Anolis sagrei: one gene and its partner. The protein of the gene in region 1 interacts with the protein of each later gene in a pairwise test. Links are inferred from orthologs where the notes say so. Each region holds a gene or a part of one and is shown on either strand. Other genes may lie near its edges.

Region 1 (7,147 bases):
TTCCGGGCTGTATGGCCATGTTCCAGAAGCATCCTCTCCTGAAGTTTCACCCACATCAATGGCAGAGGTTAGGAGGCTGGTTGGAAACTAGGCAAGTGAGGTATCTGTGTAATGTCCAGGGTGGGAGAAAGAACTCTTGTCTGTTTGAGGCAAGTGTGGATGCTGTAATTGGCCACATTGATTAGCATTGAATGGCCTTGCAGCTTTAAAGCCTGGCTGCTTCCTGCCTGGAGGCATCCTTCAAGAACTCTTGGTAAGCTTATTATATAGGGATGTCTACTGCTGCTTAGCCTTTTTTTGTCCTCTTTTTATCTCTTTCCATGTGTTTTCCTGCATAAGATCATTTTTATTTTTAAATAAAATAATTCCCTGCATCTGTAACTCAAATAGAAAATCTACGGTATTGGTTGCTTCCTGCTGGAGGGAATCCTTTGTTGGGAGGTGTTAGCTGGCTCTGATTGTTTTCTGTCTGGACTTCCCCTGTTTTTTTTTTTTTTTAGTGGTGTGCTTTATTTTGAGTGTTGCTATAGGATTGTTTTATATCTCTTAAAGTATAGCAAGTGCAATATATAAAAGTGGCTTGAGGGTTGGATTAGGACTTTGGAGACCAGGGTTCGAATCCCCTGCTCAGCCATGAAAACCTAGAGGGTGAACTAGGGCAAGTCACACTCTCTCAGCCTCAAAGAACAGCCTTCTCCACAAATCCTGCCAAGAAAGCCCCATGATAGGGTTGCCGTAAGCCAGAAAGGGCTTGAAAAGTAAACAACAATAAATCAGAAAGTGTTAAGGGGAAAACCTGGGCAGAAGAATGCCGCTCTAGATGCATTGATGTGAATAAAACCCTGAACAAATAGTAACTGTGCAAGACTTTTGCAAGTCATTGCAGCAAAGGAGGAAACGCCGGTGTGAGATAATAGTGTTGGGAGGGGAAACTGTGAGTCAACAGCCGCTATGGACTTAAATGGAGGAAGAAGCAAATACCGTAGACTCAGTGAGGAGGGTTGGTTCAGACTTACCAAGCAAAGAGCAACAGACTAATAAAAGTGAAGGAATGTGTAAGGACAAATGGGAAGTGCCCATCCACTAATATTTAAAGCCCTGCAAGGGTATTGATTTAATGCTGGTTCGTAAGCCAGATTTAAAATGAAAGGGAGGAACTTGACTATCCATTTAAAGAAGTGCTAAATGAGCCAGCGTGGCATTTGAGCTTTGGACTAGGACTTTTGCGACCAGGGTTCAAATATGCATTCAGCTATGGAATTATTATTATTATTATTATTATTATTATTATTATTATGTTTACTTACACCACTTTTTCTGTCCACAAAGGAGACTCAAAGCAGCTTATATTAAAATGGGTTAAACCCATGTGCCGGCTGGACTGTTGACCTAAAAGCATTGGAAACCTATGGCTGAGTCACACTCTCTCAGCTTCAGAGGAACACCATAGCAAACCCTTCTGAACAAACCTTGTCAGGATAAGGGATGCTTCTACACTCTAGAATGAACGCAGTTTGGTGCCAACTTAACTGCTATGGATTTTTTATCGTGTCAGAAGCAACTTGAGAACATACTGCAAGTCGCTTCTGGTGTGAGAGAATTGGCCATCTACAGAGATGTTGCCCAGGGGATGTGTTACCATCCTTCTTTCATGTCCTCGCAAGCTAGAGCTGACAGATGGGATCTCACCCTGTCTCGCGGATTTGAACAGGCAACCTTCAGGTCAGCAGTTCAGCCGGCACATGGGTTTAACCCATTGCGCCACTGCAGCTTTACTCCTATGGATCAATGCTATAGAATAATTGGAATTGTAGATTGGTAAGGAGCTAGCAGCATTAGGTAGAGAAGACCTTGTAAAACTACAGCTTCCATTATTACATAGTATTGAGCAATAGTAGTTAAAGTGGCATCAAAGTGCATTACTTTTACAGCATAGATATACTATAGGACTCTGCAGTCCAGAGTTTGAATCCTCACTCAGCCATGGAAACCTACCGAGTGTGTCACACTCTCTCAGCCTCAGAGGGAGGCCATGGCAAACCCCTTAGAATAATAGAATCCTAAAGTTGGAAAAGACCTCATGGGCCATCCAGTCCAACCCCCTGCCAAGCAGGAAAACCACATCCAAAGCACCCCCGACAGATGGCCATCCAGCCTCTGTTTACAAGCCTCCAAAGGCGCTTCTACCACACTCCAGGGCAGAGAAAGAAAACCCTGTGATAGGACAGGACTACCTCAATCAAAAATGAATTGGAAGCACCATAAGGTAAAGGTAAAGATTTTTTCCTGACATTAAGACCAGTCGTGTTCAACTCTGGGGGTTGGTGCTCATCTCCATTTCTAAGCCAAAGAGCCAGCGTTGTCCATAGACACTTCCAAGGTCATGTGGTTGGCATGACTGCATGGAGCGCTGTTACCTTCCCTCCGCAGCGGTACCTATTTATCTACTCACATTTGCATGTTTTCAAACTGCTAGGTTGGCAGAAGCTGGGGCTAACAGTGGGAGCTCACCCCCTCCCCAGATTCGAACCTGTGACCATTAGGTAAGCAAGTTCAGCAGCTCAGCGGTTTAACCCACTGCGCCATTGGGGGCTCCCTGTTATAGGATAGGACTACCTTAAAAATGAATTGGAGACACAATACAACTCAACAGTACGATCTAAGTCTTCAAGGAGACAAAATGTAAACCTATATTTTAAATATATATATATATATGTAAACACTTTCATTTAGGAAAGCAGACCTTTCTGAAATATACGAGTATATACGAGTGGGTATAACCACCCAACCAGAGCTGAGAATGATGGATATTTTGCAGGTCCCATAATCCCCAACCCTCCTTAGCATTTGTTAGTTGTAGTCCCCAAAGTTTCCTTTCCCCAGTTCTGATCTGCCTTGGAGGGCCTTGTGCCAATGCTTGCTATCCCCAAAGCAAGCCTTACTCCTTCCCTGGTCAAAAAAGACCCCTCATCCCGCACCCCAAACGTACCGGTGGGCACGAGAGGGGCTCTGGCAGGACACGGCGGCGTCTCCGGAGGGTGCTGGGTGACTGGCAGGGGCAAAGCCAGCGCTGGGGCTATAAGAAGGGGGCTCCGAGGGGTGGGAAGGGCCAGGCTAACCTTCTCTTCGACCCCTGGCCTTTCGCAGGGCAGGCTAAAAATAGGGGCCCGGGTCCTCGGAATGTGAAAGACGAGGCCCCTGACATTCCCAAAGAGCAAAGGGACAGCGGGCCAGTCACGGGGAAAGAGGATGGGAGAGTGGAGGGAGGGTCATGGCTCCTTCCCTTCCAAAGTCTGGCCTCCACCTAGAAAAACAACGCTCCCCTGATTGAAAGGTTGCACCAGACCCTGTGCAAATGGCACCAATGCTTTGGAGTCACCCTTTTGGCCCCAATGCTCATGTGTTCCATGCTTCCTTCCCTTCCTTGCAGTCCCAGGTCAGAAGGGTCATGGGACTCAATGCCCATGTGGTTCATGTTTCCTTCCACCCACCATCTTGCCCACTTTGTGCCCCTAAGCTGCTTTCTTCCTCTACTAAAAACTCAAGCTTGCAATGTAAGGCTTCCATTTCAGCTCCATTGTATGTCCACTTGTCCCTCAGCGCCACCTGCTGCCCCTGGGTGGAACTGCAAGACAACTGAGGTTCTATCTATCTGCCCATTCTGGATTGGGAAAGGCTCAGCAATAATAAGACAAGGGTTGAATGAAAAGTAATGCCTCCACCTTCATTACGTGGGTTTGGATGGGAATATTTTAATAAATCAAACGCAGAAATACTTCTTAGAATGTGCTCTTCAACTATCATTGGTTTTTAAATGCTGCATGTTACTGTTTATTGTTTTTTGTTTATGTGAGTTAGACCACACCTGGAATATTGTGTCCAATTCTGGGCACCACAATTCAAGAGAGATATTGACAAGCTGGAATGTGTCCAGAGGAGGGCGGCTAAAATGATCAAGGGTCTGGAGAACAAGCCCTATGAGGAGCGGCTTAAGGAGCTGGGCATGTTTAGCCTGAAGAAGAGAAGGTTGAGAGGAGATATGATAGCCATGTATAAGTATGTGAGAGGAAGCCACAGGGAGGAGGGAGCAAGCTTGTTTTCTGCTTCTTTGGAGACTAGGACGCAGAACAATGGCTTCAAACTACAAGAGAGGAGATTCCATCTGAACATGAGGAAAAACTTCCTGACTGTGAGAGCCGCTCAGCAGTGGAACTCTCTGCCCCGGAGTGTGGTGGAGGCTCCTTCTTTGGAAGCTTTTAAACAGAGGCTGGATGGCCATCTGTCAGGGGTGATTTGAATGCAATATTCCTGCTTCTTGGCAGTGGGTTGGACTGGACGGCCCATGAGGTCTCTTCCAACTCTTTGATTCTATGATTCAATGATTAATTGTATTGTATTGATTGTTTTTCTTATTGCTCTTGTTATTGATGTATTGTGGGCTTGGCCTCATGTAAGCTGCACCGAGTCCCTTGGGGAGATGGTATAAATAAATAAAGTATAATAATAATAATAATAATAATTATTATTATTATTATTATTACCACTATTCTCTTTTCTACATAATCACCAGACAATTGGATACATTTCTGCCAACGATGAACAAGTTTTCTGAAGCCGTCACGGAAGAAGTCGACACTCTTTTTCCGCAACTAGCATCTCACAGTTCTCTCAATGTCTTCATCAGAAGCATAATTATGTCCCCGCAGATCTTCTTTCATTATCAGGAACAGATTGAAGTCAGACGGTGCTAAATCTGGACTGTATGGAGGATGCCGTACGGTGGTGAGGTCCAGTATCTGAAGTTTTGCTGTGTACCCATCATGCACAGATCTTCCGTTAGCCAAGCAAAGCAATAATGTGACCCATATGTTCTTGTGAAATGCTAATTATGCTTGAAATTTCTCTCTGAGTGATACGACGATCATCCTGAATCAATCTGTCAACCTTTTGTTTGTGAAACTCAGTGGTTGCTGTCACAGGACGTCCAACTCTTTGTTTGTCACGAAAGTCAGATGTTCCCACCTCAACATCTTTAAACTTACTCACCCAACGACGCATAGTATTCACATCAACACAATAACCATAAGCAGCTTGCATTCTCTGATGAATCTCCTTTGGAGTGACACCTTCTGCTGTCAAGAATTCAATGACTGCACATTGCTTAAGTTGTATTGACCGACCGTCTGCGCAGGGTTCCATACTTTGCACTTTAACAACACAACTGTTCAATGCTAAGGCTTCCCGCCAAAATGGAACTGTAGAGGAGAGTCTACTGAACAAGCCAGTACCTGCTGCATACCAGTACTGCCATCTGTTGAGTTACGAAGGTGGAGGCATTACTTTTCATTCAACCTTCATACATCTACACTGTAGAATGAATGCAACTTGATAATCAATGCAGCTTGACATTGAGCCATGACAAGAATTAAACTGTCATGGTTCATTACTATGAGATCCTGGTATTGTACTTTAATGAGGCCCCAGCACTATTGAGCAGAGAAGGCTCAATAGTACTACAGTCTAGCTCAGGCATGCCCAAACTTGGGCACTCCCGGTGTTTTGGACTTCAACTCCCATAATTCCTAAAAGCCTCAGGCCCCTTCCTTTTCCCCTCAGCTGCTTAAGCCGCTTATTATTATTATTATTATTATTATTATTATTATTATTATTATTATTATTATTATTACTATCCTGCCACTTTAAAATGCATAAAAATGATATACCCTTATCTAAAATGGTAAGGAGGCCCCTTACCATTTTAGGTTCAGTGGGCTAAACCGCTGAGCTGCTGAAGTTGCTGACCGAAAGGTCAGCAGTTTGAATCTGGGAAGCAGGGTGAGCTCCCGCTGTTATGCCCAGCATCTGCCAACCTATTAGCTCAAAAACATGCAAATGTGAGTAAATCAATAGGTACCACTTTGGCGGGAAGGTAACGGCTCTCCATGCAGTCATGCTAGCCACATGACTTTGGAGGTGTCTACAGACAACGCTGGCTCTTTGGCTTAGAAATGGAGATGAGCACCAACCCCCAGAGTTGGACAGGACTAGACCTAATGTCAAAAGGAAACCTTTATCCTTACCATAAAATGGTTCAGATATATGGTGTTTCCCCTATTTATTATTTTATATGTTGTTGTTATAGTCGGCCCTCCATATTCATGTATTCTGCACCCAGGATTCAATTGTCCACAAAGAATGCTTTTAAAAAGAAATCCAAAAAGCAACCCTTGATCATGCCATTTCATATAAGGGACACCATTTTACTACAGCATTGTATACAATGGGATTTGAGGATCAAAAGATGCTAGTATCCACAGGAGGTCCTGGAACCAAAGCCCAAGCAATACATATCTCAGGAAATGACTGCAACAAAAGCAATTGTGTTTTCCAGTAGATATGTCATCACTCTTAAGATGGACTGATACACATCCTTTGGGAGGTAGAAGATGTTCTCCTTTTACATGAAATATGTAGTGCCTCGAGCACAAAACAAGTGTGGACCTGAACAAGAGACTTCCTTGTAACAGATGGATAGGAGAAACAACTGCAAAATCTAGGCAACTGCAACCAAATCATGTGTAATGGGCATGTTTAACCAAAAGAACTGGGAATGATTAGCTTTTAGATGCCTTCAAATATCTGAAGGTCTGTCATGTAGATGACCTAGACATGTTCTTTGTTGTTCCAACAGACTGTGCTGGAATTTATAGGTGGAATTTATTTTCTAAAGGTTTTTGTCACTGCCATCAAGTCGACTTGGACTTGCAGCAACCCTATAAATGAGAGAAAGGTAGATTTGGGTCGAAAATTGGGAGAATCTTCCCAATTGTGAGCTTTGGGAAGTAGGTTCGCTGTCTTTCAAATGGCTAATGGAATGCCATCGCAGCATCCTCATATATTAAGCAGGAAATTAGAATTAAATGACCGACAGGCTCTCTTCCAAGTCTTAAATTTATGTGATCGTTCTCTGCTTAGACAGAAGACATATTTTTCTGTTCAGACATCTAGACGCAAGACACAGAGGGTTTTTGAATGAATAAACAAATATGGTTACCTGGATAATGATAACCTAGGGCCCTTCCAGACAGTCCCTATATCCCAGGATCTGATCCCAGGTTTTCTGTTTATCCCAGATTATTATCTGGCA
Region 2 (7,465 bases), about 16 Mb from region 1:
AAGCATCTCTCTTCCTTCGCTCAGCCTTCCTTCTGGTCCAGCTTTCACATCTGTAGGTTACTCTCTATTTGCCAGTTCTCAGTCAGTCTGGTTGCCACAATCTTGGTTTTCCTGATGTTGAACTGCAGCCCAGCTTTTGCCCTTTCTTCTTCCACCTTGGTGAGAAGGCTCCTCAGCTCCTCCTCACTTTTTGCCATCAAAATGGCATCATCTGCATATCTAAGGGTGTTCATGTTGCATCCAGCTATTTTAACTCCATCCTTGGATTCGTCAAGCCCCACATGTCACTGATAATGAGGGGTAATAATAATAATAATAATAAGAAGAAGAAGTATAATAAGCAAGGATAATCAGGGGTACAAGGACAAGGAGCGTGAGGTCTGCAGAATTGTCTTTGCATTTGTGGATAGAACAGACAGACAGACAGATAGTTGGGTAGGTGTAAATGCCATGCATTTGCATTGATAGTTGTGTGGGTATAAAGGTATAGATGGGAGGCAGATAGATAGGTAGTTCGGTAGGTAGGTAAATAGATAGAAAAGACAAAACAGACAGGAAGAATAGACAGGTAGAATACATAGATGAAATTGATGATGCCAATAGATAGATTTTTTTTCCGTGTCAGGAACGACTTGAGAAACTGCAAGTTGCTTTTGGTGCAATAGAATTGGCCGTCTGCAAGGATGTTGTTCAGGGGACACCCAGATGTTTTATCATCCGTGTAGGAGGCTTCTCTCGTGTCCCCACATGAGAAGCTGGAGATGACAGATGGGAGCTCAGCCCACTCCCTGGATTTGAACCACCACTTTATTTATCGTGTCAGGGGCAACCAGACAATTGTATTACATTTCTAACAGAACAAAACAAACAAACAAACAGACAAACAAACAGACAAAACACAAAGTTTGCAAGCTTGGCAGTTGATTAAATGTCCTTTGAGCAGTCTCTGGCCGCTTGGAGTGCCTCTGGTGTTGCCGCAAGAAGGTCCTCCATGGTGCATGTGGCAGGGCTGAGGGTGCATTGCAGCAGGTGGTCAGTGGTTTGCTCCTCTCCACACTCACATGTCGAGGATTCCACTTTGTAGCCCCATTTCTGAAGGTTGGCTCTGCATCTTGTGGTGCCAGAGCGCAGTCTGTTCAGCGCCTTCCAAGTGGCCCAGTCTTCTTCTGTGTGCCCAGGAGGGGGGGAGTCTCTCATTTGATATCAGCCATGGATTGAGGTTCTGGGTTTGAGCCTGCCACTTTTGGACTCTCGCTTGCTGAGGTGTTCCAGCTAGTGTCTCTGTAGATCTTAGAAAACTGTTTCTTGATTTAAGTCGTTGGCGTGCTGGCTGATACCCAAACATGGGATGAACTGGAGATGTCTCTGCCTTGGTCCTTTCACTCTTGGCTGCTCCTTCCCGGCGGATGTCAGGTGGTGCAATACCGGCTAAGCAGTGTAATTTCTCCAGTGGTGTAGGGCGCAGACACCCCGTGATAATGCGGCATGTCTCATTAAGAGCCACATCCACTGATTTAGCATGGTGAGATGTGTTCCACACTGGGCATGCATACTCAGCAGCAGAGTAGCATAGCGCAAGGGCAGATGTCTTCACTGTGCCTGGTTGTGATCCCCAGGTTGTGCCAGTCAGCTTTTGTATGATATTGTTTCTAGCACCCACTTTTTGCTTGATGTTCAGGCAGTGCTTCTTGTAGGTCAGAGAACGGTCCAGAGTGACTCCCAGGTATTTGGGTGCGCTGCAATGCTCCAGTGGGATTCCTTCCCAGGTAATAATCCTCAGAGCTCGGGATGGTTGTCTGTTCTTGAGATGAAAGGCACATGTCTGTGTTTTAGATGGGTTGGGGATCAGCTGGTTTTCCCTGTAATAGGCAGTAAGGGCACCTAGAGCTTCGGAGAGCTTCTGTTCTACCATCTCAAAGCTCCCTGCTTGAGCAGTAATGGCACGATCATCAGAATAGATGAAATGCTGCAAATGCAACCAGAAGCGACTTGCAGCATTTGAACCACTGACCTTTTGGTACAGCAGTCCTGTATACCAGGGGCTCCTTAGAATAGACAGATAGAATTGATGATGTAGATAAATGGATAGATAGATTGGGTGGGAGAGAGAGAGATAGGACAAACAGACAGAAAGTTGGGTAGGTAGGAAAATAGACAGACAAAATAGACAGAATTGATGATGCAGATAAATAGATATATTATATTAGATGAGATAAGAGGTAAATAGATAGGACAATAGTTGGATAGGTTTACATGCAATGCATTTGCATTGGTAGTCAGGTATAAAAAGTGTATTATTTGTGTTCCTTCACGGTGCTGAGTGTGTCCTCTTTGTTCCCAGATTCAAAAAGAGAGAGAGAGGGTAGGGTCAATGGGGGCACCTTGGCTGACCCTGAAAAGGAAAGGTCAGGGGTGTGGGCTTGCTTGCTGGCTGCCAACGGAGACTGACCTTTGCCGGTGTGCAGGTCCACCTCCACGGTGGGGTTGCCCCGGGAGTCGAGGATCTCCCTGGCGTGGATCTTCTGGATAGACATGGCTGTGGAGAGACAGAGAGAACGAGAGGGTCAAGTGGGGGTCCGAGGAGGAGGTCTCTCCCCCTTTTTTCCCCCCATATAGACTCAAAGAGATCCCCCAAATAGTCCTCCCTGGGCCTGCATTCCCCAGGAGGCAGAAGGGCAGCTGCCAAGGCTAAATATAGACCCCCCCCCTTGCCTCCTGCTCTCTTTCGGTAAAGAGCTGGGAAAGGTCAGCGCTGGAGAAGACTCTTGCAAGCAGAAGATCCCCCCCTCCCCAAAAAAAGCAAGAAGTAGCAAACTTTGGCCCTCCTTCCAGGTGTTTTGGACTCCAACTCCCACCATTCCTCACAGCCTCAGGCCCCTTCCAAAAGGAAAGGGCCTGAGGCTGTGAGGAATGGTGGGAGTTGGAGTCCAAAACACCTGGAAAAAGGGCCCAAGTTGACCCATGCCCCTTCTCAATGGGTCTGGGGTCTCTCCATGCACTCACTCACTTTCTTTCTTCTGCTGCTGTTTCCTGGGGCTCTCTGGGGGGAATTGTGTCTGTCTGCTGGAGCTGCGGACAGTGGCCGGAGAGGCTGGACTCGGCCCTTTATAGCCAGGGTCCACCAGGAGCAGGCACGCCCCCCCTTCTTTGGCCCAGGGGGAGGGAGGGAGGGGGGAGGGCCCGGCAGAGTTTTTGCACGACTTTTTGTCAGGCGTGCTTTAATTTGTTTGAGAAGTCGTGATCCCTGCAGTTGATATTTGAAATGTTCCGAGCTGTTCTAACATCGTCTCCGAGGTTCTTGGTGGGCGGAGAGGTGGCACAGAAATGCCACAGGCAGGCAAAGAAAAAAAAAGACTGCACAGATCTATAGATAGATAGATAGATAGATAGATAGGTAGGTAGGTAGGTAGGTAGGTAGGTAGGTAGATAAAAAGATAGATAGATAGATAGATAGATAGATAGATAGATAGGTAGGTAGGTAGATAAAAAGATAGATAGATAGATAGATAGATAGATAGATAGATAGATAGATAAGATTAGATAATTGGGAACTAGATACACAAGATAAATAGATAGATAAATAGGTGGGAAAGATTAAATGAGAGGTAAATAGATAAGTTAACTGTACTATCAATCGATATATAGGATAGGATAGGAAGATGATAGATTATATGGGAGGTAGATAGATAGATAATTGTTAACTGTACTATTGATCAATAGATAGATAGGATAGGATAAGTAGATGATAGATTATATGGGAGGTAGATAAATAGATAGATAGATAGATAGATAGATAGATAGATAGATAGGATAGGTAGATAGCTAAGGTAGGTAGTAGATAGATTAGATAATTGGGAGGTAGATACGCAAGATAGATAGATGGATAGATAGATGGATGGATAGATGATAGATAGATAGATAGATAGATAGATAGATAGATTAACTGTAAGATATGTAGGTAGGTAGGTAGGTAGGTAGGTAGGTAGGATAGGTAGGCAGATGATAGATTAGATGGGCGGTAGATAGATAATTGTGTCATAATTAGATAGATAGATAGATAGATAGATAGATAGATAGTTGATTATCGAGGTAGATAGATAGGTAAGATAACTGTGCAGTAGACGGAAGGATGGATGGGTAGGTAGGTAGATAGGATAGATAGTAGATAGATTAGATGGGAGGCAGATAGATAACTGTGTGATAGATTAGATTAGATAGATAGGGTAGGTAGTAGATAGATTAGATAATTGGGAGGTAGATACGCAAGATGGATGGATAGATGGATGAATGGATGGATAGAATAACTGTAAGATATGTAGGTAGATAGGATAAGATAGGTAGGCAGATGATAGATTGATGGGAGGTAGATAGATAATTGTGTCATAGATTAGATAGATAGATAGATAGATAGATAGATAGGGTAGGTAGTAGATAGATTAGATAATTGGGAGGCAGATATGCAAGATAGATAGATAGATAGATAGATAGATAGATAGATAGATAGATAGAATAACTGTAAGATATGTAGGTAGGTAGGATAGGGTAGGTAGGTAGGATAGGTAGGCAGATGATAGATTAGACAGGAGAGAGAGAGAGAGAGAGATAGCCAGACAGATTAATAGAATAGAAGGTTCACTCTTTATAGTGACCACTGCCTTGTGAGTTTGCTTTGAGTGGGACTTTTCCCAGAGTTGCCAATGGCAGAGGGAGGATCTGAACCTGGGGCTCAGCCAATGCACTGTGACTCTCTGAAGCCTGGCCTGGTCAAGGCATTGAAGTGCTGGCTTTTCACCTGCACTGGGCTGACATGTAGAGAAGGGGGATGGGGGGAGATGTGGCTTTGGTGGACATGCAATGTATGGCCCTAAAAGAGAGCAAACCTGCAAGGCATGCGGGATGCAGACAGGCTCTCCTTGCTTGCCATTTGGATGTTTGCATGGCAACCAAATGGGATATTATTATTATTATTATTATTATTATTGTCTATATGTCACCTCGAGCTGCAGGGAGAGAAAGGTAATACATTTATTATCATCATCATCATCATCATCATTATTACTGTCTATATGTCACCTCAAGCTGCAGGGAGAGGCAGGTAATACATTATTATTATTATTATTATTATTATTATTATTGTTATTATTATTGTCTATCTGTCACCTCGAGTTGCAGGGAGAGGCAGGTAATACATTATTATTATTATTATTATTATTATTATTATTATTATTAGTGTCTTATCTCTTATTTTAAGATGTTGCATCCTGCTTCGAGCCGCAGGGAGAGGTGGGTCATACATTATTATTATTATTATTATTATTATTATTATTATTATTTAGGTTTATTAAAGATTATTATTATTATTAAGGTGGGTCAAACATTATTATTATTATTATAGGTTATTATTTAGGGTTATTATAGATGATGATGATGATGATTATTATTATTATTGGTTGTTGTTGTTATTGTTATTATTATTATTATTATTGGGAGAATGGCTTTGGATCCTTTGTTGGGAGAAAAGTGGGACATCCATATTTATTTGAATGTAACGCTCACCTTTTTTTGGCTGAATTACCTCACCAAAATTAGGGTGTGCCTTATATGATTCACATCATACGGTAATCTTGGTGGCGAGGCACCAGCATTCGTTGGCAAAGAAGGCTCAAGACCTTGTCCAACACCCCCCCCCCCCCCCCACACACACACACACACCAGGACTCCACCGCATTGAACCAAGGCAATTCAAGTGCATTCCTTCTGCAGCATAGTTTTCCTTTCCTTTGCTGGAAACTTTGGTGCCCTGACCTTTTTGTTATTATTAAGCAAGCAGCCATTGCAAGGCACATATTTTTGGGCCCAGTGACAAGGAGTGCGCTTTTTGCACACATTCAGCAGCCAATACTTTCCTTGTTTTAAGGGTTTTGAAAATGGAGGTGCGCATGAGATTCAGTGGCGCATGAGTCAGGTCAATACAGGCACATTGCAGGGATGCTTCTCTTTCTTTCTTTCCTTGGGAGCGCACCCTCCTTAGAAAGCGGTCCGCCCTGCCTTGGGTCCATTCCGTTGCCTATAATTGCCTTCTAAAAATGGGACATGCGACGGCCGCCTCCATCCGTGCACCTGCGCATCCTCTCTCCATCTGGCTGCATGGATGGCAGGACGCCACGGCCGTCTTCCTGGGCGCCCCTCCTGATCCAACGTCCTCCTCTCCTCCGCGTTTACTCCAGGCAAAGGGCCCACACGCCCGGGGGCCCCTTCTCCTCCGTGGATCCCGTGAATCATGCTTCATTGCAGGGCTTTCTCTTGAATAGCAGGGCATGGCCCGGGATGCCAGCCAAACCCACCCACCCACGGGGCTGGCTGGCAAGGAGGAACGAGAGCGGCTGGTGGCCAAGCCGGGATGAGTCACGCACGGGGCAGAGCGTTTTCCCCCAAACGTTTGCATTCAAGGCAGGATCCCTTCCTTTCCTTCCTTCGTGTCCTTGCTTTGGCTCTTTTGCATTTGGTGCCAGGCCCTTCCGCCAAAGCCTTGCCCTAAATTTAGACCCTTCTAAAGGTCGGGGGACCATTCGAGGTCCCAGGCTTAAAGGACGAGGAGGTAACCCTAGATAGCTCCTCCTGCTCACCTTTCACAGCCTTGGGATGCATTTACGGGAAGGCAGAAGGAAGACCCTCGAGCCTCACCCTCCCTCCGGTGCAGAGTTGGAAGTCCAAAACACCTGGAGGGAAGGCTGAAGTTGGCCCAGGCCTGCCCCATAGGATGGGACCCCTTTGCCCCCTTCTCCAAGATCATAGCCAAGGGTTGGTGATGTTTATTCATTCAGTCGCTTCATGACTTCATGGACCAGCCCAGGCCAGAGCTCCATGTCGGCCGTGGCCGCCCACAGGATCTCCTTCAAGGCCAAACGAGTCCCTTCAAGAATTGCCCTTGGTCGGCCCCTCTTCCTTTTTCCTTCCATTTTCCCAAGCATCATTCTCTTCTCCAAGGTCTCATATCTTCCCATGATGAGGCCAAAGAACTTCATCTTTGCCTCTGATATCCTCCTCTCCAGTGAACACCCGGTATTTATTTCCTGAAGTATGGACTGGTTGGATCTTCTCACGGTCCAAGGCACTCTTAGAACTTTCCACCAGCACCACAGTTCAAAAGCCTCTCTCTTCCTTCGCTCAGCCTTCACTATGATCCAGCTCGCACATCCGCCGGGAAGTAGCAGCCAATAGTGAAAGGACCAAGGCAGAGACATCTCCAATCCATCCCTTGTTTGGGTATCAGCCAGCACATCAACGACTTAAATCAAGAAATAGTTTTCTAAGATCTACAGAGACACTCGCTGGAACACCTCAGCAAGCGAGAGTCCAAAAGTGGCAGGCCCAAACCCAGCACCTCAATCCATGGGTGATACCAGATGAGAGACTCCCTCCTGGGCACACAGAGGATTGGGCGACGTGGAAGGCGCTGAACAGA

What was found.
Region 2: the proteins of ALDOA (region 1) and ENO3 interact in a two-hybrid assay, tested with the Homo sapiens proteins (2 studies listed by BioGRID and IntAct, with this or other methods). The link is inferred for Anolis sagrei from reciprocal best matches to the Homo sapiens genes ALDOA and ENO3.

Annotation. Positions count from the first base shown.
Region 1 is NC_090026.1:17,439,488-17,446,634, reverse strand, and holds the start of ALDOA (fructose-bisphosphate aldolase A), read right to left. Parts: upstream 3,097-7,147; 5' UTR 2,990-3,096; intron 1-2,989. UniProt on the Homo sapiens protein: Catalyzes the reversible conversion of beta-D-fructose 1,6-bisphosphate (FBP) into two triose phosphate and plays a key role in glycolysis and gluconeogenesis. In addition, may also function as scaffolding protein.
Region 2 is NC_090026.1:1,351,114-1,358,578, reverse strand, and holds the start of ENO3 (beta-enolase), read right to left. Parts: upstream 3,117-7,465; 5' UTR 3,008-3,116; exon of another isoform or gene 3,004-3,007; intron 2,537-3,003; 5' UTR 2,535-2,536; coding exon 2,450-2,534; intron 1-2,449. UniProt on the Homo sapiens protein: Glycolytic enzyme that catalyzes the conversion of 2-phosphoglycerate to phosphoenolpyruvate. Appears to have a function in striated muscle development and regeneration.